5 linked regions of the Macaca mulatta genome follow. The protein of the gene in region 4 purifies or fractionates together with the protein of the main gene of each other region. This does not show direct contact. Links are inferred from orthologs where the notes say so. Each region holds a gene or a part of one and is shown on either strand. Other genes may lie near its edges.

The links.
Region 1: the proteins of CDKN2A (region 4) and CDK5RAP3 purify together in Homo sapiens (affinity purification with western blotting; 3 studies listed by BioGRID). This does not show direct contact. The link is inferred for Macaca mulatta from reciprocal best matches to the Homo sapiens genes CDKN2A and CDK5RAP3.
Region 2: the proteins of CDKN2A (region 4) and CUL2 purify together in Homo sapiens (affinity purification with western blotting; 3 studies listed by BioGRID, with this or other methods). This does not show direct contact. The link is inferred for Macaca mulatta from reciprocal best matches to the Homo sapiens genes CDKN2A and CUL2.
Region 3: the proteins of CDKN2A (region 4) and CCND1 purify together in Homo sapiens (affinity purification with western blotting; 3 studies listed by BioGRID and IntAct, with this or other methods). This does not show direct contact. The link is inferred for Macaca mulatta from reciprocal best matches to the Homo sapiens genes CDKN2A and CCND1.
Region 5: the proteins of CDKN2A (region 4) and TOP1 purify together in Homo sapiens (affinity purification with western blotting; 3 studies listed by BioGRID). This does not show direct contact. The link is inferred for Macaca mulatta from reciprocal best matches to the Homo sapiens genes CDKN2A and TOP1.

The regions. Positions count from the first base shown.
Region 1 is NC_133421.1:62,061,270-62,066,834, forward strand, and holds part of CDK5RAP3 (CDK5 regulatory subunit-associated protein 3), read right to left. Parts: intron 3,748-5,565; 5' UTR 3,607-3,747; intron 3,302-3,606; 5' UTR 3,297-3,301; coding exon 3,237-3,296; intron 2,783-3,236; coding exon 2,722-2,782; intron 1,893-2,721; coding exon 1,717-1,892; intron 1-1,716. UniProt on the Homo sapiens protein: Substrate adapter of E3 ligase complexes mediating ufmylation, the covalent attachment of the ubiquitin-like modifier UFM1 to substrate proteins, and which is involved in various processes, such as ribosome recycling and reticulophagy (also called ER-phagy).
Region 2 is NC_133414.1:36,430,246-36,435,810, reverse strand, and holds part of CUL2 (cullin-2), read left to right. Parts: intron 1-1,816; coding exon 1,817-1,924; intron 1,925-2,584; coding exon 2,585-2,644; intron 2,645-3,461; coding exon 3,462-3,590; intron 3,591-3,694; coding exon 3,695-3,781; intron 3,782-5,435; coding exon 5,436-5,565.
Region 3 is NC_133419.1:5,006,932-5,012,496, forward strand, and holds part of CCND1 (G1/S-specific cyclin-D1), read right to left. Parts: intron 4,127-5,565; coding exon of another isoform or gene 4,102-4,126; coding exon 3,953-4,101; intron 1,030-3,952; coding exon 865-1,029; 3' UTR 1-864. UniProt on the Homo sapiens protein: Regulatory component of the cyclin D1-CDK4 (DC) complex that phosphorylates and inhibits members of the retinoblastoma (RB) protein family including RB1 and regulates the cell-cycle during G(1)/S transition.
Region 4 is NC_133420.1:77,238,409-77,244,714, reverse strand, and holds the start of CDKN2A (cyclin-dependent kinase inhibitor 2A), read right to left. Parts: upstream 4,201-6,306; 5' UTR 3,883-4,200; coding exon 3,757-3,882; intron 313-3,756; coding exon 6-312; intron 1-5. UniProt on the Homo sapiens protein: Acts as a negative regulator of the proliferation of normal cells by interacting strongly with CDK4 and CDK6. This inhibits their ability to interact with cyclins D and to phosphorylate the retinoblastoma protein.
Region 5 is NC_133415.1:93,963,464-93,969,028, reverse strand, and holds part of TOP1 (DNA topoisomerase 1), read right to left. Parts: intron 5,170-5,565; coding exon 5,048-5,169; intron 3,859-5,047; coding exon 3,736-3,858; intron 2,018-3,735; coding exon 1,830-2,017; intron 867-1,829; coding exon 722-866; intron 1-721. UniProt on the Homo sapiens protein: Releases the supercoiling and torsional tension of DNA introduced during the DNA replication and transcription by transiently cleaving and rejoining one strand of the DNA duplex.

The sequences.
Region 1 (5,565 bases), on a different chromosome or scaffold from region 4:
GTGTGAGAGTACTGCGCTCATGCATAGAAGGTGCTCAGAAAATCTATACAAAGCAAATAAGAGGCACCTGTAATCCCAGCACTTTGGGAGGCCAAGGCAGGCAGATCACCTGAGGTCAGGAGTTCGAGACCAGCCTGAAAAACATGGAGAAACCCTGTCTCTACTAAAAATACAAAATTAGCCAGGCGTGGTGGCACATGCCTGTAATCCCAGCTACTAGGGAGGCTGAGGCAGGAGATTCGCTTGAACCTGGGAGGTGGAGGTTGTGGTGAGCCGAGATCATGCCATTGCACTCCAGCCTGGGCAACAAGAGCAAAACCCAGTCTCAAAAAAAATAATAATAATAAAGCAAATAAGAGGTCCACTCAGAGATGCTCAGAGTGCTAAGGGAACAGAAAGAAGGAGAAGGAGTACCGAACTCAGCATGGGAAAAGGCAAGGGAGAAGGACAGAACACCACCAGAGCAGACTCTTAGGAGAAGTAACACTTGAGCTGAGTCTTGCAGGATGGCATGAATTGTAATAGAAGGGAGAGGAGAGAAAAGAGGAAGGGAAATGACAGGTGTCATTCTGGGGAAAAGGAAAAGCAAGGACAAAGCCCAGAGGTGAGAGAATGGCTGTTCCAGAAGGAAGAAGTTTATTATGGGAACATGGATGTTTATGGGATGAGTGGAGAGAAATTAGGTTGAAGAGATGGGCAAAGAGAGATCTTGAAGAACCTTCAGGTCCATCATAAAGGATTGAAATGTAATCCCGTAGGTTAGGATTCCCAACCAATGGGCAAGCAGGTCCCTGGAAAGCTGTAGAATTATGCAAAGGTGGAAAGATCGCTTGAGCCAAGGAGTTTGAGGCATCAGTGAGCTATGACTGTGCAACTGTATTCCAGTCTGGGTGACAGAGGGAGACCCTGTGTATAAAAATAATAAATAAATAAATAAATAAATAAATAGAATTATGCAAAGGGGCCAGGGATCCATAAATACATTGATTTTTTTTTAAGTCAGCAGATACTAGAAAGACAACTCTCATGTGATGAGATGGAGAAGTTTTTCTACATTGAAAAAAATGATCATTTTGGCTGGGCATGGTAGCTCACGCTTGTAATCCCAGCATTTTGGGAGGTGGAAGCAGGAGGATCACTTGAGTCCAGGAGTTCGAAACCAACCTGGACAACATAGTGAGACCCTGACTCAGAAAAAAAAAAAAAAAGAGAAAGACAGAGAGAGGAAGGAAGGAAGGGAAGAAGGAAGGAAAGATCATTTCAGAGAACATGATCAATAAATATATGAAAAGATGTCCAACCTTACTAGAAACAAGGTGTCTAGTTTCCCAGAGCTGTTGTAACAAATCATCACAAATTGGGTGGCTTAAAACATAGAAATTTACTCTCTCACAGGGCTGGCACAGTGGCTTATGCCTGTAATCCCAGCACTTTGGGAGGCTGAGGCGGGTGGATCACCTGAGGTCAGGAGATCGAGACCATTCTGGCTAACACAGTGAAACCCTGTCTCTACTAAAAATACAAAAAATTAGCTGGGCGTGGTGGCGGGCACCTGTAGTCCCAGCTACTCAGGAGGCTGAGGCAGGAGAATGGCGTGAACCCCGGGAGGTGGAGGGTGCAGTGAGCCGAGATCACACCAGTGCACTCCAGCCTGGGCGACAGAGCAAGACTCCGTTCCCCCCACCCCTGCAAAAAAAAAGAAAGAAAGAAATTTACTCTGTCACAGTTCTGGAGGCTTGAAGTCTGAAATCCAGGTGTCAGCATGGTTGGTTCCTTGCAGAGGAGATGCTGTGCCTCTTTCCTGGCTTCTGTGGCTGCTGGCAGGCCCTGGTGTCCTTGGCTTGCAGGTACCTCCATTGTCACATGGTCTCCATTGTCACATGACATTCTTCCTGTAAGAACACTGCTCCTCAGCCTTAGGACCTACACTAACCCAGGATGACTACATCTGAAAACCACATCTGGAAACCTTATTTCCAAAGCAGGTCACATTCTGGGGTTCTGAGTGAATGTGAATTTTCGGGGACACTATTAAATCCAGTACACTAGGGAAATGCTAATATAAAGGACACGGGCCAGGTGCAATGGTGCACACCTGTAATCCCAGCACTTTGGGAGGCCGAGGTGGGTGGATCACTTTAGGTCAGGAGTTCCAGACCAACTTGTCCAACATGGTGAAACCCCATCTCTACTAAAAATGCAAAAATTAGCTGGGTGTAGTGGTGCACACCTGTAAGTCCAGGTACTTAGGAGGCTGAGGTGGGAGAATCGCTTGAACCTGGGAGGTGAAGGTTGCAGTGAGCCACGATGGCACCACTGCACTCCAGCCTGGGAAACAGAGCGGGACTCCATCTCTAAATAAATGAACAAATAAATAACATGAGGAAGACCACTTCACTTCCATCATACTGGCAAAAATGGAAATGTCTGTGTCATGGGTTGCATTCTACAGAAGTAGGTGGTGTTTGGGGGGGCAAGATGTTTATTAGGAATCATTTCCTGTGAGAGGAACCAGATGGAAGCAGGACTGGGCAGAGGCAGAAATTCAACTGCACTGCAGGTCCAGCAAAGCTTCAGTCAATGTGGTGGGGGCCTCTGAGTGAATATTGCCCCGAGAATGTCCTTCATGGGGCTGAAATGGCTGGGCTTTATATTTCTAGAAGTGCACTGCCCCAGAATGGTAGCCCTCGGGCAAGTTGACTTTCTATCGCTGAGACAGACCTTGAAGGAGCTGATGGCCAACTGCTGACCACACTTCTGTGACCCGGCAGCAAGTCCTTCCCTGAAAAAGGATGTGGGAAGCACACTTACGTCTGACAATACAGAGAGGTGATCTGAATGAAGAATGTGGAAGGCTGAAAAATGATCCCTGCAAAGATAACCATGTCAAATCTCCAGAAGCTATGAGTGTGACCTTATTTGGAAAAAGACTCTTTACACATGTGATTATGTTAAACATCTTGAGATGAGAGAATCCTGGATCATCGGGGTGGACCCTAAATGCCATCCCAAGTATCCTTATAAGAGAGAGGTGGAGGGAGTTTAGCCAAACCCACAGAAGTGAAAACAAAGGAGGCGGAGATTGGAGTGATGTGGCCACAAGCCCAGGAGTGCCTGCAGTCACCAGGAGCTTGGAGCAATCAAGGACAGGTTCTCCCTGGAGCCTCCAGAGGGATCACAGCACTGGCAACTCCTTGGTCTTGACCAGTTAAACTCATTTCTGACTTCTGCCTTACTGGATAGGTCAGAAGAATCCATTTCTGTTGTTTCAAGCCATGGAGTTCATGGTAACTCATGGTAGCTACAGGAAACAAATGCAAACATCAACAGGAAAATTGCTGAGGGGGTGCAAATGGGTGTACTGGGTTAGAGAATCCACCTTAAGGGGCGGCTGTGGGGATCAAAATTTCACACCTATGGAACATTTGGAAGAGTGCCTGGAACACAGTCCCCCTAATATTGGCTGCTCACACCCCGACTCCCTGCTGAGATCTCCTTGAAGGGAACGCCTCGCATGAAAACAAGAGAGAGCCCCCTCCAATGGCAGCCCCACCACCCACCTCAGATCAGAATGCAGCTTCTGCCTGCCCCGCCTCCCCACGGCACCTGGTATAGCCTGCCAGAGACTGATCTTTGGTTTTGCCCCACTTGTCACCTCGACCAGGCTGGACACCCCCAGGATCTCCAATCTCCTGGCCTTCCAGAGAAGGGGGAACACTGAGGATAATGGCAGCACCTCTCTTCTCCCTGTTTTGGGGAAGAAATATCCCTGAAGCCTAGATCTACTTGCTGGGCAGAGGTCAGTAAAATGGGATGGATATGCCAGGCTGATTGGATTTGTAATTCAATGGGGCCCCATGGCTGTGCACCCCAAAAGGGCACCAAGGTCTTTGGGGCTCCCTTAGGTGAATTTAACTTGCTTTACTCAATGAGAACACATTTCTGAAAACGTGCACACTGTATGTATATGGCATGTTACACTTAAACCTAGTTTTAGGAAGGTGTGCTTAAAAGTGAATTTTTTTTTTTCTTTTTTTTGAGACAGAGTTTCACTCTTGTTACCCAGGCTGGAGTGCAATGGCGCAATCTCAGCCTCACCTTCCAGGTTGAAGCGATTCTCCTGCCTCAGCCTCCCGAGTAGCTGGGATTACATGCATGCGCCACCATGCCTGGCTAATTTTGTATTTTTAGTAGAGACGGGGTTTCTCCATGTTGGTCAGGTTGGTCTCGAACTTCCAACCTCAGGTGATCCACCTGCCTCAGTCTCCCAAAGTGCTGGGATTACAGGCATGAGCCAGTGTGCCTGGCCAAAGGTGAAAATTTTTATAAAGCAATAAAGTGGGCCGGGCGCGGTGGCTCACGCCTGTAATCCCAGCACTTTGGGAGGCCGAGACGGGCGGATCATGAGGTCAGGAGATCGAGACCATCCTGGCTAACACGGTGAAACCCCATCTCTACTAAAAAGAAGTACAAAAAAAAAACTAGCCGGGCGAGGTGGCGGGTGCCTGTAGTCCCAGCTACTCGGGAGGCTGAGGCGGGAGAATGGCGTAAACCCGGGAGGCGGAGCTTGCAGTGAGCGGAGATCCGGCCACTGCACTCCAGCCTGGGCGACAGAGCGAGACTCCGTCTCAAAAAAAAAAAAAAAAAAAAAAAAGCAATAAAGTGGCCTGTACGTGAGGAGTTATATTTGTAGCTCACAGTCTTATCTCAAACTCTCCTCCCAGTCCTGCTCCTCCCAGAAATAAATGCCCTTAAGGCCAGAGGTTGCGCCCCAGGCTGGCCCCTCCCTGGTAATGCCCTAGGGCCTCATACCTGCACCTGGTCCTGGTGGTGCTTGGGAAGGGAGAGCCACAGGTGGGCCTGCCATGGCACTTATGGGGGCTCCTTCTTCAGTGTGGGGTTAAGAGAACAAGAATCTGCTCCCCTGGGCTCAGACATCAGAGAGGCACGGGGAATGAGTGCCTCCAGGGCAAGTCCTTTCCTCTATGGAGGGGGAGCGGGGAACTGACTCTGAGTTACTGTCCCCCAGACCAAAGCCCATCCCACTAACCTTCTGGTCTCTTCCCAACACCTGAGCTGGAAGGAGTTTTTGTCTTCTGAACCAGATATCCACTCTGAGTGGACCAGGCTTTTATAGAAAGTGACAGATCTAGGAAGCTGTGGGCACCTTTCTGGGACAGCTGTGTGTACTTTGCACTAGAGGCAGGGGACCTTGCAAAATTATATCCTTCAATTCCAATCAACCCCCAGGGAGATGATGACATGACAGCAAGTCAGCTGTAGCTGGAACCACAAGAAGGCAAATAAATGGGTTTTCCTGCACGTTTACCTGCCCCAGGGAGCGTGGGACAAAACAAGGGGCTACATTACCAGTTTCTTTGGGTAAAAACAATGTTTCTGTTTCTCATTTGTGTTTTCAAGCTTGCATAAGTACCTACTATATGTCAGGTCTGGATCAGTGACACATAATTCTGGAATCTAAGAGCTAAAAGTCTATAAGTGGAAATCAATCATGGTATATATATCGTGTTAAATAGAAGTATATGAGCAGGTTCTATAGGAACA
Region 2 (5,565 bases), on a different chromosome or scaffold from region 4:
GTAATCCCAGCACTTTGGGAGGCCGAGGCGGGCGGATCACGAGGTCAGGAGATGGAGACCATCCTGGCTAACACGGTGAAACCCCATCTCTACTAAAAATACAAAAAATTAGCCGGGCATGTTGGCGGGCGCCTGTAGTCCCAGCTACTCAGGCGGCTGAGGCGGGAGAATGGCGTGAACCCGGGAGGCGGAGCTTACAGTGAGCCAAGATCACACCACTGCACTCCAGCCTGGGTGACTGCACAAGACTCCGTCTCAAAAAAAAAAAAAAAAAGATAGTATCTGTGTGTATGTGTGTAGCCGTCACTGTTCAGGAGCACTTTTTAGAGGCTGTTACCTTAGCGACAGATTGGTCTTTGGCAAGTAATAATTTTTAGTTTTTATGTTCTGCCACAATCATGTGTAAGTTTACTATTTTTTAATTTCTTCAAATTCCTTTTACCACAGTTTTCTATTTTTGTAGAACTATTAGTTTGTATTATGCAGATTTATTACTCTGTATTATTTGTCAAACTTACTAGTTTATGTTATTACGTTTATAGATTCCATGTCCAATGACATGGGGCATAGAAGCATAGAATTTTGTGTCAAGGCTGGGAGATGGAAACATAAGTGAATACATTTGTAGTAGACTCAAATCCAGCTGACTTAGTTAAGTCTTAGGTAGTAATTTCTTCATGGTTATCTCCATTAAGAGGGAAAACTCACTTTTGCACTATTAGGTATTTCTTCTCTCTGAGATGTGAGGGATTGTCTTGCTGAGTTCAAGGGGTCTCTGTTCTCAGGGTTACTGGCTTTTTAACTCTCCTCTCTCTCAGCCTTCAGTGACTTTGCAGGCAGTCTTTGCTTATATAAGCCTCTATGAAAGTGATAGACCTGGTAATTCAGGTCTTGTTATCCTTAAGTTATTCCAACACAGTAGAAAAGTATGCTTTTGGTGGGTTCTTCTGGCAGGTACTAGACAGTCTATGACATTAGCTTGTTGTGTTGAATGACAAGCTATTTTCTTTCTTTTTTGTTGTTTTTTTGTTTGTTTGTTTTTTCTGAGACGGAGTCTTGCTCTGTCGCCCAAGCTGGAATGCAGTGGTGCGATCTCTGCTCACTGCAACCTCCACCTCCCTGGTTCAAGTAATTCCCCTGCCTCAGCTTCCCGAGTAGCTGGGATTACAGGCGCATGCCACCACGCCTGGCTAATTTTTTTGTATTTTTAGTAGAGACAGGGTTTCACCATGTTGGCCACACTAGTCTCGAACTCCTGACCTCAGGCAATCCCCCTGCCTCCCAAAGTGCTGGGATTATAGGCGTGAGCCACCACGCCCGGCTGACAAGCTATTTTCTTTCTTTTTTTTTTTTTTTTTTTTTGAGACGGAGTCTCCCTGTGTTGCCCAGGTTGGAGTGCAGTGGCCGGATCTCAGCTCACTGCAAGCTCCGCCTCCCGGGTTTACGCCATTCTGCCTCAGCCTCCCGAGTAACTGGGACTACAGGCGCCCGCCACTTCGCCCGGCTAGTTTTTTTGTATTTTTTTTTGTAGAGACGGGGTTTCACCGTGTTAGCCAGGATGGTCTCGATCTCCTGACCTCGTGATCCACCCGTCTCGGCCTCCCAAAGTGCTGGAATTACAGGGTTGAGCCACCGCGCCCGGCCGACAAGCGATTTTCAACACCAAAGTTTTAAATTTTTAAAACCACTTTCTGAGAAGTGTGCATGTGTAAAACATAATTTCCTTGAGGAAAAATTTACTCAAGTCTAATAAACCTAGTAGTTTGTACTTGAACCTTTTAAAATGTGGTTTTGTACTTATATTTCATGTTTTTAGATGCCAACACTATTTGTGGAGTCAGTTTTGGAAGTACATGGTAAATTTGTTCAGCTTATCAATACTGTTTTGAATGGTGATCAGCACTTCATGAGTGCGTTGGATAAGGTAAGTTTTAAATACGTATATACTATATATGTACATAAAGCTCTGTCATTCTTTAGGCAGTTTCAGGATTAGACTCCTAGTATGAGATTTCTGACCTAGACATGGAGATTAAATATGAAATTCAAAATGGAAATAATATAACTTTTAAATTATTAACTGAATAGTAAATTGAATGCTTGTAGAATTTCCCATGATTATGCTATATAAGGGGAATTTTTAATCTGATATCTTCTGGATAGACATGCATAATTTTACAATTTTTAGTACTGATTTTTTTCTTTGGCCATAATACTTAGGCTATATTGAATAATATTTGAAAAGAGAATAGATATGTTTTACGTGAACTTTTGTATACTTTAAAGGAAAGTTACTTACAAGATTGTAAGTTTTTTTTTTTAAGTAGTGTTATTTTATCTGTTCAAATTTTGGTAATGAGTTACAGAGTATCTTGCAATAGCAACAAGATGTATAGATATTTTGTAATTAGAGAATAAAATCAGAGGAGTCCACTGTGTTAGGTGCGAAAATATTAACAAACTACTGGCAATGCTGTGTCGTATGTGGCGGGGTAATTTTGGATGTATGGATTATGGCTTGTATTGAACTAGCTGTACTTTTTCCCTATGGCTGGTGGTTAATTATGGCCTGTTTTTTATGTAGGCCCTTACGTCGGTTGTAAATTACAGAGAACCTAAGTCTGTTTGCAAAGCACCTGAACTGGTAAGTTTGGTGTTTGCTGAAAAGTAATCTTATGAAAAGTCAGTATTAGAACATGAAAACTGAGAATATCAAATTAATTTGGTTTTTGTAGCATTTTTCAGAAAAACAAAAGGAAAATTATCTACATTGTACATAGTTTGGCATTTATGTAAGGAATGCAACATACCGTGTGTCTTTTCTTAAAAAATAATCATTTTACAAAGTTTGGGTTTTAATGTATGTCTATTTTGAAATAATTTTAATACTTTTCATGTAGATTGTTATATCTGAAATCTAAAGGAAGTCTGATGATAAAGTTTGGGTAACCTTTGAAGGAAACTTGCTTACAAGGTTTTTGTAACTTTTTTTAAAGTACTTATTCAATGTCAAAAATTATAAAACCGCTCGAAACTCACCCAGGTGTTCTTTTAAAAATTTATATTACCCATATCAGTTGCTTTATTGGTCAATAAGTGATAATTCGATATTTGACTTGTTCTTTTAAAAAATATACCTTATGATGTGTATTTTATTTAGGTTACACTTATGATTATTACATAAAGCTTTAGAAGCCTGGTGTGGTTGTGCATGCCTATAGTCCCAACTACTTGGGAGGCTGAGGCAGGAGGATCCTTTGAGCCTAGGAGTTTGAGGCTGCAGTGAGCTATGATGTTGTCCATTGCAATCCAGCCTGGGCGACAGAGCAAGACCCAGTCTCTTAAAAAAACAGTAAAAACTCTGTCCACTGATCTTATCTTGTATCACCACTTTGCCTCCTTTGAGGCATGATATATACAGAAGCACCCTTTGTAAGATTTATTATCAATTTCTACATGAGCTTGCTAAGTACTGTGACAACTTACTGAAGAAGTCGGCGAAAGGGATGACAGAGAATGAAGTGGAAGACAGGCTCACGAGCTTCATCACGGTGTTCAAATACATTGATGACAAGGATGTCTTTCAAAAGGTATGCTGTGAACAAAAAAGTTTCATTTGTGTTTTGGTCAACTTTATTTCTGAATGCTAAATCATTAGAAAGGAAGTGATCTTTTAAAATATTTTTAAATGCAGTTCTACGCAAGAATGCTGGCAAAACGTTTAATTCATGGGTTATCCATGTCTATGGACTCTGAAGAAGCCATGATCAACAAATTAAAGGTAATATAAGTCTTTAATCTGGTACTGTCCTAGAAATTCACTCACAAGCGTATAAAGATGTTCATTGCAGCATTGTATGCAGTAACAGGAAACAATTCATCCGGTTAAATGTATATTTTTATATTCACACAGTGGGATATACAAATACTATATTAAAAGGACAAAGTATGTATGCTTATATATGAAGATTCACTGGATAATCAGTATTAACGATAAAAGATTATTACTACTTTAAATGAATACACCTAAAATATTCCTTTAAGTACAAATTTTGGAGTGCAATTCCATTTCAATTTATTTTTACATCATTTCAGCTTGCTTGCACACCGATAAGTGGTAGCAGGTTCTTATTTCTCCTGCGTTATTCAATAAATTTTCCTGCATAGTAGACATTTTGAATATAATATGCACTCCTTTTTTCCTTTTTCTTTTTTTTAAGAGATAGGATCTCACTATGTTGCCCAGGCTGGACTCTAACTCCTGGGCTCAAACGATCCTCCCGCCTCAGCCTCCTGAGCAGCTGGGACAACAGGTGTGCACCACTGCACCCAGTTGCTATGTGCTCTTTTTGAAACCTGCAAAAAAGAAAAAAAAAAGCTTAGTTTTTAATTTCTAAAAGTAGAGTTGGCCAGGTGTGGTGGCTCACGCCTGTAATAGTAGCACTTTGGGAGGCCAAGGCAGGTAGATTGTTTGAGCTCAGTAGTTCGAGACCAGCCTAGGAAACATGGCAAAACCCTGTCTCTACCAAAAATACAAAAGTTACCTGGGCTTGGTGGCTAGTCCCAGTTACTCAGGAGGCTGAGGTGGGAGGATTGCTGGAGCCTGGGACATCGAGGCTGCTGTGAGCCATGATCACACCACTGCACTCCATCCTGAGTGACAGAGCAAGACCCTGCCTCTAAATAGATTAATTACCAGAAAAATAGTAGTGTTAATGAGCTTTTATATTTCAAGATTAGAGATTCAGATTTTCTAACCTGGTAACAACATAATTTTGAATAATTTTAAAGAAATAATTTTCTTCATCACTCAGTAGATGCTATTAAAAATATGCCTAAGTAGACCTTTTTCAATTGACTACTGGCTAGAGTATTCCCAGTAATCATTTATGTAATCTTTCATTTGATACTATCTGTAAACCTTATAAGAGCCAGCAGCTGTGGTATGTGCCAATAGTCCCAGCTACTGGGAGAGTGAGATAGGAGGATGGCTTAAGCCCAGGAGTTCGAAGTTGTAGTGCACCACGATGGCTCCAATGAATAGCCACTGTGTTGCAGCATGGGCAACAGTGTCTTTAAAACAAAACACAACATAAAATCCTTATAAGGTATCTTATGTATAGTAATGGGGCGTTTTGCAGTGCTGAAATAAGAGATGAATGTATAAAAAAGTTTTTGTTTATGGGGAGATTTATTGTTCCTAAATAGGTGGATTTTATTCACTTACTTAAAATATGCCTTTAAAAAGAAAGAAAGTTGGAAAGGTTTTGATTAGTTGCTTTGACTTATGAAGAATATATTACTAGTCCTTGGGTATAAGTGTACATGCAAGAACTCTTGACCAAAGACCTAGCAATACTGACACATTCTTATTAACCAATATGACTTATTATTTTTCTTTTGAAGTCATGTATTTTCTAAAACTTTTTTTATAGCAAGCCTGTGGTTATGAGTTTACCAGCAAGCTACATCGGATGTATACAGATATGAGTGTCAGCGCTGATCTCAACAATAAGTTCAACAATTTTATCAAAAACCAAGACACAGTAATAGATTTGGGAATTA
Region 3 (5,565 bases), on a different chromosome or scaffold from region 4:
CAGGTCACTACAAAAATAGGAAGAGTATAAAAATAGAATATATTACGTCACTATTTCGTCTTCTCTTTATAGTAGCGTATCGTAGGAGTGGGACAGGTGGCCTTTCCCAACCCTGCTACGCTGGCTGGTGCCCGACAAACCTCCACTGGGATGGTGGTCACAGGTGCAAAGGACATGCACACGGGCACGCTACGCTACGGTAACCAAGAGGTGACTTCAGCCATGAATAAGGTGAAGAGGTTACACATCTACCTACGGAATATAATAACATACAATGACTTATAAAGTGACTACATGCATATGAGCAAGCAAAGTACAGAGATGCCTAGAACCACACTACAGCTGCGCTTTTCAGGAAAAGCACAAGAATACGTTTTGCTACCTAAAACCCTCTTCTACTTTAAAAATGGTTTGCTGAATTTTTCTATGTTTTAAAAATGTTTTTACGCTTTCTTTTTTAACACGTAAAGGATCGAACCTAATCCTCTCCCGAGACTCCTGCTTTGTGTTAATGCCTATTCTTACAACAGAGAAACAAGTACATTAATGTAAAAACGAGTTGATTATTGGGGTATAAAATCCTCTATTGTCTGTAGCACAGCCCTCCTCCCCCACTGCTCAGGGTTATGCAAATACTATTTTTTTTCTCTCTCTTTTAAAGACAGTTTGGGGTAATCTTTTTCTTTTGCTTAAGTCAGAGATGGAAGGGAGGAAGAGCAAAGGAAAAAACAACCAACAACAAGGAGAATGGAACTTTCCCTTCTGGTATCGAAATGCTCCGGAGAGGAGGGACTGTCAGGGGAGCACCTGGGGCCGGTTCCGCCCTCGCTGTGGGTGGCGGTGGCGCCTGCCTGCCTGGCGCCCTCAGATGTCCACATCCCGCACGTCGGTGGGTGTGCAAGCCAGGTCCACCTCCTCCTCCTCCTCTTCCTCCTCCTCGGCGGCCTTGGGGTCCATGTTCTGCTGGGCCTGGCGCAGGCTTGACTCCAGCAGGGCTTCGATCTGCTCCTGGCAGGCCCGGAGGCAGTCCTGAGAGAGACGGAGTGGGGAGAGGTGGGAAGAGGGGGTCCTTAGAAGGGGCCTGCGGTGAGGGCCCCCTCCCAGGTGCCACGACCTGGAAGGCCTCTATAAGAGCAAGACTAAGTAAAAAACTGTCCCTTGACCCATGCCGCCGCCTCTGAACCTGAGCGAGACGTGGGAGCTGCCATCACCTGTCAGTGAGACACTCAGGACCCAACGCTTCCACCTCCCACCTGGCCTCCGGAGCCACAAGACAGCAGATGCTTGCCCGCCCACCCTGCACCCGCTCTGCCCATCCCCAAGCTCAACAGCTCCTTGACCTTCTGTTCCCACTGGCCCTGCCAGCTCCCTGGGGAATTCAGTGCCATCTGATCTGGACAGACAGGCCCTTTCAGTCCTGCCTTTTCAGACAGCCTCTCCGTGTGGCAGCCCTCCAGGTGAACCTGGCCTTCCATGATCAACGGCTGTCAAAGTCTCAGGCCGTGCATGACTGAGGATGAATGCTGGGTGCCCAGGGGGACCTGGACCCTTGATCCCTCACCTCCATCCTCTCCCGCTCAGGCCTGTGCCCCGGGGCCACCCATCAGCCTGGCACAGCATGCATCCACCCGCTGCGGCCACAGAGGTGCTCGCCCTCGGGTGGAGTGCAACAGAAGCTCCTGGAAGTCCTGCACCTCCGCCCTCCGGGTCTCCAGACCCCCTTGGCGGCGGCCGCACCACACCGTCAGTGGGAAAGAGCAGCCATGGAATCCGGAACCCCGCGCCCAGCCGGGGGCCTCTCCTCAGCTCCAGCACGGGCAAGTCCCAGGCAGCCCGAAGCGGCTATCTCCTGTGCGGGGGCTTCTGGATAGAGAACTGGCTTCATGTGTTGGGGCTGTGTGTGTCCCAACTGCCAGGAAGCCACAGTAGGGCTTCAAGCCGAGTCTCTAGGCAGCCCAGGAAACAGACTTTCCACAAGGAGCAGGGCTGGGCCACAGCCCCAACAGGTGCCACTGAACTTCCAACCAGATGGGGGTGGACAAAGGCAGGGCATGACAGGCGATGACCTAGGCCAGAAGGACTTTTCAGTGGACCCCTGGGGTCGTAACATTTTAGCGTCCTGTGACTATAGGGAGGGCTTTCCTCTCCCGCCTTTCAGATAAATTCTCATCATGGCAAATGAAGCCGGCTGGGCTGGCAGCACAAACAGTCCCACTGTACAGATGGGGAAACTGAGGCCAGAGACCTGGGGTGAGATCCAAGACTCCTGATGTTCAACCTAAAACACCAGCCACCCTCAGTTCCCAGCTCCAGGGGCCTGGCAGCTCCACCCACGGACTCTTCACCTGCCGTCCGCCCCCCTCACCATGACCCGCTCCAGGGTCACGCATGCAGCTGGACTCCATTTCCCTCATTCCTCTGGCCCCACAGCTGCCTGCAAGGCTACCCTGGTGGACAGAGCTGTTCTCCCACAGCCAGAAGCTCCAAGGAGGCAGCACGCTCCTCCACGAAAAGTCACTGGTGTGTGGCCCTGTGCACCCGATTCACACAGATGGACATTCCACCCACCAAAGAAAATTCTAGAACACGCCCTAGAAAGTGCAGGGGGCCTCTGCTGTGAACGGTTTTTCTGAGTCTGGGCTCAGCTAATCAGGCAGAGTGGACTCCGCCTCAGGTAACTTCACCCCGTGTGTCAGCTGTGAGCGTGTGCCTCCCATCTAGTTCAGATGGTCTCTACTCAAATAAGGGCCAGTGCCCAACTTCCCACAACTGCCCAAAGACAGCAACATCCCGGGCAGATACCCCTGGCGGGGAGGCGGTTTCCACTCAGGGCGTGGAGTTGGAAATGAAAGTGCAGATGCGAGTTTCATTTTGACGGAGGGGCTTTCCCTTTGCTGGGCTTCTGGAGGCCTTGACGGCGTTTCTGAACCATTTTCCTGAGAGAACTGTGGGCTGCTGGCCTCCACCCTACAGCGGGTGAGGACACCTTACCACCCCCACAGGATAACACGGGGCAGGGTGCAAGGGAGGCCACGGCCGAGAGCACAGAAGGGAGGGGAGGGCGCCCCTGCCACCTCCAGTATCCCATGGCAAAAATGCTTCTTCCTCTTCCGAGACACACATGGGCTGGGCAGCCGCTAGCTGCCTAGAGGCACCGCTAGGCAGGGGACAGGCAGGTGGACGCTAGATAGCATCTGCTGAGACCCGTGCGGAGCCCCCGGGAGGCTCGAGGGCAGACCCCCAAGAGGCGGCCCAGGCCAGAGCCACAACGGGCCTCGCAGGCCCAGCCGGCCCCAAGCTGGGGTCAGGCGGTCACTCCCTCACACACCGCAGGGCCGGCGGCTGACCCGGCCACCTCTCTGGTCTAATTTGGTAAATGCCACAAACCCTTTTGATTGTCATTTTAATTCTTTCTTTAAGAAAAGAATCGGGAATAAAACAATGGCATTTTGAAGAAGAAAGACACAGTCATGCCAGGGTTTAACGGCAGCAGCCTCTCAAAGAGCCGTAAACAAGGCCGTCTCTATCCGCCCGTTGTCCGGCGTCTCGGACCTCACAGGAGCCCTTTTCAAGCATCTATTTATTGGCCACGCACATTGTGGCCCAAACAAAGCTCGCCTGGGCCTAACCCCACACACTATCACCACACGGACCATTGGCTGGGGCCGCCTGGGGCCGTCGTCCTAGACGCTTCGCCCAGAAACACTCTACAGCTCCTGGAAGCCCCAGGGGACATGAGCAGCCTGTGAGGACCTCCCGACCGGTCAGTGAGTTCTAGGAGCAGTGGAAGAAGCTGGTGCCCTGTCAGTCTGTGGCTTGGGGTCCGAGGGGCCCAGCCCCAGCCCCAACCCCAACCTTGTCACCCTTGCACCAGCCTTGGCATTTCCGTGGCACTAGGCGTCTCCTGCCTGTGAGCCCCGGCGAGGCTCCCTGGGACACTGCCCTCACTCACCGGGTCACACTTGATCACTCTGGAGAGGAAGCGTGTGAGGCGGTAGTAGGACAGGAAGTTGTTGGGGCTCCCCAGGTTCAGGCCTTGCACTGCGGCCACCACGCTCCCTGCTGCCACCATGGAGGGTGGATTGGAAATGAACTTCACATCTGCAGCAGGAGAGAGGGAAGGGGGCTGTGAGCAGGGGACCCGTGATCTGGGCATCCCCACGTGCTGGCTCTGAGCAGGCGGCCCGGCCTGGTGGGTACCACTCTCCAGGCCCTCCCCAGCCTCCCGCCATCCCTGGGTACTAGGAGAGCAAGAGCCCGGCCCAGGGACCCTCCAGGAATGTCAGCCCCACTGTTGACTCAAACATAACCAAGCAGAGAGAAAGCCACGGGAAGACAGGACAGGTGACAAGGACATCACTACCCTCTCATCCTTTCAGCATCTTGAGCCTTGTGAATGTTACCACTTATTCACAAAAACAAAGTTAGACGACACAAATATGAGGACACAGAGATGTCGCCTCTATGACCCTAAACCTTAACCCCAAGTACGTGCCACCCCCCAGCAGCAGGGATTGGAGACAAGTCATATTCTGAAGGGACGTTGCACGGGGCCAGGCCATGGGGCTGCAGGGCATTGATGAAGCCATTCCCTGTGTCCATCGAGGGGCAAGCCCTGGCCGGCAGCCTTCAGGGTGGCCGTGATGGTGTGGCTCCGGCTCAGGCCCTGGCGTCAGGAGAGCCCGGCTTGGCTCACTCGGGAAGGAAGAGCTGTTCCAGCAACCCATGGCCCTTACCGTGGGACCACGACTGTCACGGTGACCTTCAGAGCACGGACCAAGTACACCCCAACTCCACCCAGGGCCCTCTACTCACAACTCTACTTCTGGCCGATGACAAAAACGCTTCTCTGGGCCACTTGATGTAGCCCAGCAATTCCAGCGACTTCCCAAGTAAGGGAAGAGGTGTGGGGTTCCTAGCAGCAGGCACTATGGGACACCCTTGGTGGACTGGGCCAGGAGCCGGGTCCCAGGAGGGAGCAGCTTTCCCAAGAAGGCACCAATCCCCCTACTTGGGGCTTCCTGGGGACTGTCCCGCACATCTGGGCCTACTTCCAAGGGGGACACCAATCTAGGGCGGCCCATCAGCCTTTGTGGTCTGCACAAAACTCCCTCTGGTCATTGTCAGATACTGGGACTCATCTGCCTGCCAGGCTGCAGTAGTGGGCATCTCAGGGCCTCCATGACTGACCTAGACAAACAGCAGACCAGCTCTTTCCATAGAGAGCCTCGCCACCAATCACGTCCCAGTGTGTGGCGGGGAACTCCGGCCTCCCCTCCTCAAGCAGTCATGCACCTACCGTGGACAGGTGGGCCAGCGTGGGATGTGCCTCTCGGCCTGGCCCCCACCCCAGCTCCACTGGGGGTAGCCCTTTGTCACACCCACGAGGAATTCTGCATAGGAACCAGGGGCCCTGGGCTGGGAGCTGGACGTCAGCAGGGATGAGTGTGGCATCTTTGTCGGCCCCATCGCCTCATCTCGCGCCACTGAGCGCCCGGGAACAAGGGGGGTCGGGGGAGCTGAATGGGAGCCGACCCAGGCACAAAGGGAGAGGGGCCCCCACGG
Region 4 (6,306 bases):
CTCACCTGAGGGACCTTCCGCGGCATCTATGCGGGCATGGCTACTGCCTCTGGTGCCCCCCGCAGCCGCGCGCAGGTACCGTGCGACATCGCGATGGCCCCGCTCCTCAGCCAGGTCCACGGGCAGACGGCCCCAGGCATCGTGTACGTCCAGCCGCGCCCCAGCCCGGTGCAGCACCGCCAGCGTGTCCAGGAAGCCCTCCCGGGCAGCGTCGTGCACGGGTCGGGTGAGAGTGGCGGGGTCGGCGCAGTTGGGCTCTGCGCCGTGGAGCAGCAGCAGCTCCGCCACGCGGGCGCTGCCCATCATCATGACCTGCCAGAGAGAGCAGAGTGGTCAGAGCCAGGGTAGGGGCCGGCATGATGGAAAGGAAGCTTGTGTGAAGCCCCCTCACCGCCAAGCAGACACCCACACAAGCCACAGGTGTCTAATTACCCCTACATTTGCTTCCAGTTTCCAATTTCCTTCTCGAGTTCTATATCACATTGAATTCCATTATAACCTCTGAACTTCTGCGGAGCTGTCGCCACAGGCAGAGAGCACTGTGAGGCATGGGCAAAATAGCAAAGGGGCAGGGACAAACTGACTTTTACTCCAGTCTAACTTCCTGTATTTCCCTTGAGATAAAACTACTGAAATTTCTTCCTGAAATTATGTTAGGCCTGGAGATTTTTTTTTTTTTTTTTTTTTTTTTTTTTTTGGTTCTCTGCTGTATATCCAAGCGCAGAATGTGGTAATTGTTAAAAAGAGAAAACTTGTTTGTTTGTTTTTTTAAACAAATTCTCACAAAACTTTTAAGTTACCCTTAGTTTCTGGGAACGTTGAACTTAAATTTCTTTTTCATTAAATTAGTTTTAAAATTACATATTGGCATAGTACAGTTGTATATATTTATGTGGTACAATATGAAGTTATGATCTTTGAACACAATGTGGAATTAAGTCAAGCTAATTAACCCATCCATCATCTCAAATATTTGATATTTTTGTCAAATGAGAGCATTTGGGATTTACTATTTAGCTATATTTATCATGCTGTGAAACACATCTCAAAAAAAATCAAACTTATTTCTTCCATCTTAACTGAGGCTTTGTATCTTGATTACCACTCCCCATTCCTCCCACTGCCCCCCTCCCCAGCTCCAGCAACCACCATTCTACTCTTTACTGCTAAGAATGTATTTGTTTTATATTTCACAGATAAGTGAGAACATGTGATATTTGTCTTTCTGTGTTTGGCTTATTTCATTTAGCATAATGCTCTCCAATTCCAAAAATTCAATTTCTTCAAGTATAAAATAAGAATGCTAGACTAGCCCTAAAATTCCTTCCTGTGGTAGGTTGAATAAGGTCCCCCCCCCCACAAATGTCTATGTCCTGATCCTCAAAAACTGTTAATTTATTAACTTATGTAGCAAAAGAGGCTTTGCAGATGTGATTTAAGTAATGGTCTTGAGGGAGATTATCCAGAATTTTCAGGGTGGGCCCAATAGAACCCCAAGTGTTTTTATTAGAGGGTCACAGTCAGAGAGAAGATAAAAGAATGGAAGCACAGGCCACAGAGAAAATACAGGGAATATGAGCCAAGGAATTTGATGGTCACTAGAAGCTGGAAAAGACAAGGAAACAGATTGTCCCTTAGAGTTTCCCAAAGTGGACCCATTTTTGACTTCTGATCTCTAGAACTGTACTGTAAAATAATAATTTTGTTTGTTTTAGCTAACACATTTGTGGTAATTTGTAACAGCAGCAATAGGAAACGAAAAGGCTTCCCAGGTTTATGATTTGAGAGTTCATTAAACAAGAGATGGTCACCTTTTTGGTTCCTAAATCATCTTGGAAACAAAGCCATTTCCAGAGAGGAATTTTAAAATACTGTCTCCAGTCATAGCAACCTTAAAATTTGAGTGTTGCATGGTGGAAATAAACAATTTATTTTAGGATAACTGTTATTTGTTATATTAGCTTGAGGATGGTTGTGTTAAAGAGGAATTACTTATTTTTAGGTACATTTCATACTAAACACAAATTGCATAATTTGCCTAAATCAAGGAATTATACTAAATTATATTATGGTTATTAAATGCTGTCCTGAGAAAGTGAAACTGACTTAGTTTTCAAAGAGACAAAGAGAAAGTATAAGCAAACCAAATTGCAGCTACAAAAAGAAAGACAAAATGTTGCAGCATATTTATTGTTCCGTGTGTTCACTGAAGTTCTCTTCGTCTTGGTCATAAAACTAGCCTTAAAGGTTTTTATTATATTTCATAGAATGAAAAACCTAAAAAGTAACCCATATGTAAATATTTAAATCATGATATAAATCCAAAGCAAAAAGAAAATGAATTCATTGAATTAAAATGTGTAGGATGCTTAAACCCATTTGATAATAAATTGATATGAATTTAGCATTTAAAAATATTATACAAATAAGTGTTCCTATATTAAACACCAGTGTAGTTAGGATTCTAAGCCAACAACACTTCCCCTTTTCTACATGTTCTTCTCCCTTCCCCATTAAAAATTGTCAAAACTATCCACTTTTCTTTTTCCTTTTTGTTTTTAAACAAATAAGGTCTCTTCTAAGATATTTTAGGACTACAAAGCCAAATTCCCGGGTCCAAGCTGTTGGCAAAATTTTAGAGATGCTAAGTTACCCATGCATTAATTACTTTTAAATCATCCCCTAACTCCCTCACAAAACCGGAGTAGGGAGAGGAGAAACACCACTGTTCAAAAATGAGGAATTGAAAACTCTATCACAAAATAAACTATTATCAAGTAAGCTAAAGATAGCAAAACAGTAAAAATATTAGCAGATATTCCCAAAATGGTGACTACATATTACTTCTGGCACGATCACATGAATGTAGCTCATTATTTCCTAAGTTCCTACAGCAAACATGTATTTATTTGCCCTACTCAGTTAAAAATAAACACAATATGTAGTTGCTTCTGAATGCTTTTTTTTTTTTTTTATCTCTCTCTTTCTCTTTCTTTCTTTCGACAGTCTCACTCTGTCACCCAGGCTGGAGTGAAGTGGCTCCCTCTCGCTGTTCACTGCAACCTCAGCCTCCCGGGTTCAAGCGATTCTCCTGCCTCAACCTCCCGAGTAGCTGGGATTACAGGCGCCTGCCACCACCCCCCGGCTAAGTTTTGTATTTTTAGTAGAGGCGGGGTTTCACCTGTTGGCCAGGCTGGTCTCGAACTCTTAGGTGATCCCCCCGCTCCTTGAGCTCCCAAAGTGATGGGATTATAAGGCGTGAGGCACTGCGCCCGGCAGCTTCTGAATAATTTCGATCAGAAATTTATATTCGATATTTATTCCAACATACACCACAGATTTCCACTGATAATCCCTACTAGTAAGAAAGATAAACTCCATCCAGGCATCTGTGAATTGGGGGCTAAGTAGTCCCAGCACATCTTACATTTCTTTAAGACTCCCGTTTTATCTCAAACCTTCGTAAGTTTTGTATCTGATAGAGCATACTTCCATCTAATACAAATATGTTCCCCCCTTCAGATCTTCACAGCATTCGAGAGATCGGCACGCGCGTGCCTCCTCATTCCTTCCTTGGCTTCGCAAGCACCCAGGGCTTCGCCAGCAGGAGGTCTGTGATTACAAACCCCTTCTGAAAACTCCCCAGGAAGCCCTTTTTTCCAGACTCAAAGCGCTACCTGATTCCGACTCCCCTGCAAACTTCGTCCTCCAGAGTCGCCCGCCATCCCCTGCTCCCGCTGCAGACCCTCCACCCACCTGGATCGGCCTCCGACCGTAACTATTCGGTGCGTTGGGCAGCGCCCCCGCCTCGAGCAGCGCCCGCACCTCCTCTACCCGACCCCGGGCCGCAGCCGTGGCCAGCCAGTCCGCCGAAGGCTCCATGCTGCTCCCGGCTGCTCGCTCCCTGCTCTCCCACTCTCCGCAGCGGCCAAGTGCACGCGGCCGCCCCACCCTCTGGTGACCAGCCAGCCCCTCCTCTTTGTTCCTCCGGTGCTGGCGGAAGAGCCCCCTCGGCCTCTGTCCCTCAACTCCTCTGGAGGGATCGCGGTATCTTTCCAGGCAGGGGGGCGCCGTTCGCGAGTGCTTGGAGGAGGTGCTATTAACTCCGAGCACGTAGAGAATGTGGCACCCCTGAAGTCGCCCCAGGGTGGGCCTCCCCCGGGGGCACCAGCCGGAAGCAGCCCCCGCCAGAGCCAGCGTTGGCAAGGAAGGAGGACTGGGCTCCTCCTCCTCACCTGCCCCCAACACCGCCCTCCGGCCTCCCTGCTCCCAGCCGCGCTCCCCCGCCTGCCAGCAAAGGCGCGTTCGAGTGCGTTCACTCAGTTAAAAAGAAAAAAAGAAATCCCCCCGCCCCCCGCCCCGTTTCCTTCCTGCGCGGTACAACCTTCCTAACTGCCAAATTGAATCGGGGTGTTTGGTGTCATAGGGAAAGTATAGCTTCTTCTTTTAATCATAAGAAAAAGCAAAACTGTTCCTTCCTAGTTGTGAGAGCCCCACCGAGAATCGAAATCACCTGTACGACTAGAAAGTGTCCCCCTACCCCCTCAACCCTTGATTTTCGAGAGCGCGGGGTTCACTAACTCAGAAATCCTAGTTCAAAGGATTCCTTTTGGAGAGTTGGCCTACCCTCTCCTTCTCCACCCCTTCCCCTCCTACGTGTAAAATGGCTGTCTGGGGCAAGGGTTTCTCAGACGTGTACATTGCCTGGTATAACAGCAGACTCTGAAAAGATGAGGTTTATTTAATACGGGGGAGATTTCTGCCTGTAGGCAGATAGGAAAATGGAGATGGAGTCATTGGAAGGACGGACTACATTCTCAAAGTCATAATTCCTAGACCAGAAAAAGTGCTCAGTGTTCTAGAGGCAGAGTTGCACAGTGATCCAAAGACCCGCTTTACACATTGTCCTGTCTCCTACACACTCCTCACATTTCTCTTTCCTACTGAAAATACTTTGCATTTTTCTTAGTTATAAAGGGAGAAGGGAATATGAGTACCCCCTGCTTTACAGGGGTGTTGTGAGTTTAAATGAATTGTTGTATATTAATACATATAAGACTTAAGAACACTGCCACACATCCTAAACTAATACCTGTTAGCTCTTGAATTATCCGTTTTGAGGATTGGCTTGCAATCTTGTTTTGAGGCATAGAAAGAAAATGCTTTGGAGCCGGACGCGGTGGTTCACGCCTGTAATCCCAGCACTTTGGGAAGTTGAGGCGGGCAGATACCTGAGGTCAGGAGTTCGAGGCCAGCTTTGGCCGTCTGTACTAAAAATACAAAACTTAGCCGGGCGTGGTGGCGCACGTGTGTAATTCCAGCTACTCAGGAGGCTGAGGCAGGAGAATCGCTGGAACCCAGGAGGTAGAGGTTGCCGTGAGCCGAGATCGCGCCACCGCCTTCCAGCCTGGGTGACAGAATGAGACTCCGATTCAAAAAAAAAAAAAAAAAAAAAAAAAAAAAGCTTTGGATAGAATTATCACTATTATATAAAAGGAAAGGCTGGACGCGGTGGCTCACGCCTATAATCCCAGCATTCTGGGAGACTGAGACAGGAGGATCACCTGAGGTCAGGAGTTCGAGACAATCCTGACCAATATGGCGAAACCCTGTCTCTACTAAAAAATACAAAATTAGCTGGGCTTGGTGGTGCATGCCTGTGATCCCAGCTACTGGGAGGCTGATGTAGGAGAATCGCTTGAACCTAGGAGGAGGCGCAGGTTGCAGTGAGCCAAGATCGCGCCATTGCACTCCAGCCTGGGAGACAAGAGCGAAACTCGGTCTCAAAAAAAAAAAAAAAAAAAAGAAAAAAAAGAAAGAAAGATCAAGAAGACCTTATTCCCTGAAAAGATTATGGGCCCCTCCACCACCCTCACTTATAAAGAAAAGTTAAACAGCACTAAAGAGTATAACAAGTGCAAGGAGGTAAAAGTTCTAATTTTTCCTGTGACTATTACTTTTTAAGCTTTTCAAAAACATATATTACGTTTTTAAAAAATGGATTGCTCAGACTTTGCTGATGCCTTAAGCACATGCTTAACCTACCTACTGGATAATCCAGCTCTGTTTAAAAGTTATATTTCAATCCCTGGTTGACTTAAACCTTGTAGACCCAGTATATCTTGTACTTTTAGTGTCTGCTTGATGTTAAAACACGTAGTTTTTAAAATGAAGCCAATGGAAACAATTTGGGATGTCAAGTATGTTATTAAAATCTACAATGCATTACTGTGCCATTTATATTTTCCTCGGAGTACCTCTCATTTAGCTGTGTAGCAATGATATGGAAAATTCAAACTATCGATA
Region 5 (5,565 bases), on a different chromosome or scaffold from region 4:
ACTGTGCTTTTGTCTCTATTAGGTTTATATTTCATAGTATGTTGGAGGGAAGAAGTTCATGGAACTCTCTAAAGCTGGATATACGTAGCTATCTGGCAAACGAGAACTTATTCCCCCCAAGGCAGTTATCTCCTTGCAATAACACTATCAATAAATAACAATGCACAGGTATGTAACATAGTTTATGATGTGCTTTCACACACGTAATTTCATTTGGCCCTGGTGAACCTACCCAGATGAGACTGCAGGAAGCCAGAAGTATGTAAAACACTAGATTTTACAACTTGTTTCAGGCTATACAGAAATTACATTCCCTTCTCACAGCCAAGAGAGGTGAGGAAGTAGAAGAGATCTGCAGAGGCCAATATACAACCACCGTACTTCAACACATTCTGACCACTGGACGTTAAGCAACGTGAAGGCAGGACCTACGTCTGTCGTTTGCCAACATAATTCCTAGCACCAAATGTATACTCTGTGTGGCACATTTGGGATTTCAGTAAATATTTGTGAATTAATAAATAAATAAGATTACAATGTGACCAAAAAAAAATGGAGGCATTGTAGGAAGATCACCATAATGCTAACTACTTGCCTTCTTTCAACGGGAAGGGTTTTTAATTTGTCAAAGTGATTCTGGAGGACGAGAACATTACATTTCAACAGAAAAAGATTATCAGCACCATGAACCAGTGCAGCTCTCAACTATCCCGTAACTTACCTTGATTCGTGAACTAGGGTTAAGCATGATGTATTTAATGGAACCTTGGATGTTCTCTGTCCAGGAAACCAGCCAAGTAACCTTGTTATCATGTCGAACCTCTTTCCACTTATGTCCTGGAGGAGGAGAAGGAACCTTGGCATCTCTGGAAATAACAGAGCAAGAGGATAGTGAAATGAGATGTGAGGAATAATTTCACCTTTCATGACCTCAAGTGGACATATATGCTGAGCATATTTTTCCAAGTTTCCTTCTTAACAGTCAATATAGTAGTCCCATCTTATTCATGGTTTTACTTACCCTCAGTCAACTGTCATCCAAAAATATTTAATACAAAATTTCAGAAATAAACATTTCGTAAGTTTTAAACTGCACATTATTCTGAGGAGCATGATGAAATCTCTTGTAGTCCCACCTGGGACACGTGAACCATATATACAACATATCCATGCTGTATACGTCACTTGCCCCGGGTAACTAAGGCGCTGCCTTAGTTATCAGGTTGACTATAATGGTTTTACATTGCTTGTGTTCAAATAACCCTTCTTTTACTTAATAAAGGCCCCAAAGTGCGAAAGTATTGATGTTGGCAATTTGGATATGCCAAAGAGAAGGTGTAGAGTGCTTTAAATGAAAAGGTGAAAATTATCGACTTAATAAAAAAAACTGTATGCTGAAGTTGCTGAGATCTAAGGTAAAAACGAATCTTCCATCTGTGAAACTGTGAAGAAGGAAAAAGAAAGTCATGCTAGTTTTGCTGTTGCACCTCAGACTGCAAAAGTTATAGCCACTGTATGTGGTAAGTACTTAATAAAGATGGAAAAGGCTTTAAATTTGGGGGTGGAAGACATCAACAGAAATGTGTTCCAAGTGACAGCAGTTGGGTCGAAGTTTCAGGTATCCACTGGGGGTCTTGGAACATATCCCCTGTGGATGAGGGGAGACTATTGTACCTCAAAAACATCTGGAGACCTATGCATGAAATACTGTCCTGCTCTTAAGTATCTCCTTTCCCAAACAGTCCTGTGTAACCTGGGAAATATTCCCAAGTACAATAAAGGACACCCTCCACCCCCTTTTTGGCCCACAGGATGAAGTGCGAGCTCACTTGCTACAGTTGATGATTATATCCTCAGGCATGATTCGTCTCTTCAGCATGCCCATCTTAGGGTGGTTGCCCCGGCCACGGAAAAGCCCGGGAGGCTCTATCTTGAAGTTAGCAATCCTCTCTTTGTGGTTATCCATAATACAGAAGCCATATTCTTTCAGTAATTTTTCATTCTCCTCTTTGATTTTCTGGAAGACAGCCAAGAAAGTACTCAAAATAGATTCCGATGCTGTTCTCTACTAATACATTTTTATCTCTTGTGGGAGACTAGGTCAAGATAGAGAAAAGTCTGAAAATGACTAAAAAATGAATTCAAATAAAGGAAAACCTCTAGTGGTTTTCTCAAACTTAAATATCATAAAATTCCCCAAAAAGATCTGCCTATAAGGATTGATTTCAACTAGATTCAAAACTGATTCCTGTGTCTTAAAGGATATATGTTTATAAATGTTGTTTGGGTGTTTTTAAATGTACTTTAAAAATTCGTACTATTTTATTGAGTACTATCAAAACAGGAAATGGAGAGGGGTCTCTGATAGAGCCTCATAAAAGAATAGCTCGAGCCATTTAATTAAAACAGCAGTTAAACAGCTAAAAACATGGGTTTTAAAGTCCAGACAGATCTGTCACTAATTTTTTTGTAGGTATACAGGTTAAATGCTCTATACTATGATCCTTGCTCCAAAAAGGTGGGGTATGGTGGGCAAGATTTTGAGCCTCCTTACCCTCTATTGACTCTTTTTATATACTTATTGATTCAATTTAACTAAGCCCTGCTGCCTTGTGGGTGGGAACAGACCTTGCTGGCAGCAGGTGTCCTTGCAGGGACTCTGACAAGGGGATGTTTATAAAATCTATCTTTGGATCAGTATTCTAAGAACAAAGCTCCAAAGTGATCTTTTAAGTTTCAAAATGCCCCGATGTAAATAATATACTAAATTTCACTAACTTGGAATATTGAGGATAAGATTTACCTGAGACAGAAAGTCTGATGCAATTAACATTCTTATAGTAACACATTAATTTTTAAACTAGTGGCCAAATAAGTACCATGAAACAATGAGTTATATAAATACAATGGCCTGAATTATATAAACATGCAAGTCCTTCAAAATACTGAAACTACAGGAATTTGAAGTGCAAAAAATTCCTTAAAATCCTTAACTTCTAGACTTCCGATTGGAAAAAATGAAATTCTAGCCTGGATTCCTTTAGTTAGGGGCTGACAACTTTTTCTAGATAGAAAATATTTTAGGCTTGAGTGCCACACAGTCTCTTTTGCAACTACTCTCTTTTGCAACTACTCATCTCTGTCATTGTTGCATAAACACAGCCATAGATAATATGTAGAAAAGTAGGGGCAGCTGGTTCCAATAAACTTTTGTTTTCTTTTTTTTTTTCTTTTTTTACAAAAACAGGCAGCCTGTAGAAGAAAAATGACATCCCAGCTGGATACCAGAAAAATTCTTCAGTAATGAGGATGGCCAAGGCTGGAAGATGGAGATGGATGAGCACTGCAAGATTCCACAGTAAAACAGATAAAAGAACAGGAAGGTATATGGCCAATATGATTTCATCTGTCTTAAATCCTTAATATCCAGTAGCCACTGTGGGACAGTTCTGTCCATCCTTAATTACTATATTATTGGCTGGAGTTACTGACTGGTTTTTAGGTCACTGAAGCACCAGGGTTCCTATAGAGAGCTACTGAGCAAAGTACTTATTCACAATTTTCAGTCTAACTAAAACCTTTAAGAAAATTTAGACTTTGAGAATTCTAAGTCTTTAGCACAGAATGATGTGAAATTACTGATGTTAAGTGTTGTGTCGTAAGAACCAAGAAGAAAATTAAATGAACCAATCACGATTCCAAAATTCTCCAGAGGTTTAATAAATTCTGTAGTACCAGTTTCTCTTCCTTGCTCATCTGTTTCCGAGCTTCCGACTGGGCTTTGAAATACTGGCTCATCTGGGTAAAATCACATTTGCTTAGGTTGGTGATAATATTCTTCTCTTCATTAGTCATTTCCTAGTCAAAAGAAAACAGGGAGATGAAAGAAAAACAACTAAACTACACTAGTAAGTCCTTGGGTTTCTTTGCGAATATACCCAAGCACCATTTTTTCAGTCAAAGGTTTTTCGAAGTAGCCAATCTCAATTAATGAATTTTGAAAAAACAAAAAAACACAGAATAAAAAATATTTCTTTATTATAAAATATGTATTTAATAATATCAAAATGTTTTAAAATGACTTATCATGGAAAAAAATGAACTCTTATGTGGTTTCTTAGACTCCGTGGCACACTGTCCCCAGGCGCATGAATACAAGTTTGGAATTCCATACTGATTCTCTCTTAGAAACATTACCCCTATTCTATTCATTTATTAAATTTGCTTTTCAGAGCTAGTTCAGGAAGTAAACTTTACTGCTGCCTCTGTCCACATTATCCAAATTGAGAATAATGAGATTTTAAAAAATCACCTAGGCAAATATAGTATATGTTGTTTCAAGAGTAGAAAGTACCTAGAACAAATGAGCAAGAATTAACAGGGAGTGAACAGGGAGTGGGACATCAGATTAACATTTCTCTTTGCAACAGCAGACACTGGGCAGTCCTGCAGAGACAAACTTTCCTATGCGCAACTAGAGTTGAGGTTTTCTGTTTGGCCTAATCTCATAACCCCCTACCTGCCATCACATGACAGCCGATAGCAAAGATATACGAGTATTCTTTTTTTTTTAAGACGGAGTCTGGCTCTGTCACCCAGGTTGGAGTGCAGTGGCACAATCTCGGCTCACTGCAAGCTCCGCCTCCCAGGTTCACACCATTCTCCTGACTCAGCCTCCCGAGTAGCTGGGACTACAAGCACCCGCCATCACACCCGGCTAATTTTTCTATTTTATAGTAGAGACAGGGTTTCACCATGTTAGCCAGGATGGTCTCAATCTCCTGACCCTGTGATCCACCTGCCTTGGCTTCCCTAAGTGCTGGGATTACAGGCGTGAGCCACTGCGCCTGGCCGATATTCAAGTATTCTTATTGGACCGAAACCCTACATAATATAGTAAATGAAGACAAAAAGTGCACAACTTTAAATACAGCAAAATCCATAAAACTCAAAATTTTACATCAGGAAATGTTTTGCAAAATAATTTATTACTTCATACTTGATTGTTTTGCAAGCTACTAAGATATTAACACACGGGCTACAGTACCTTTCTCCAGTCTTTAAAGAAATTTTTCCTAAATATTTCCTTAGTAGTATATTCATGGTCGAGCATTTTTGCAAAGAATGTAGCTACTTCTTCTGCTTTGGGGCTCAGCTTCATGACTTTACCTAGAGAAAAAAGTGGTTCCAAAAAGTGAGGTATAGTATTCATGTTCTAAGTATAAATACCCAGGGCTAGCGAATTCTCTTTAATAATGGTTTGCCTTCTCATGGTATATAAAGGTCTGGTGACACATAGTAACAACAACAACAAAGACAACATACTGATTTATATCTACTTGTACAAATTCTCCTTCCTTTAGCATATATTTACCTGGGTCATTCTCTGGAGACTATGCCAGTTAATTGTTCCCAGGTGCCTGCTCAGGACAGGGATGACCTGGGGGAGGCCCAGTCACTCTTCCTTTTCCTTTCAGCAAGCAGGGTCCTTTACACCTCTTCAATGGTTTTTAAAAATCAAATCCTCAGAGGGACTCCTGCCACTGCTAAGCTAAGCAGCCTCTG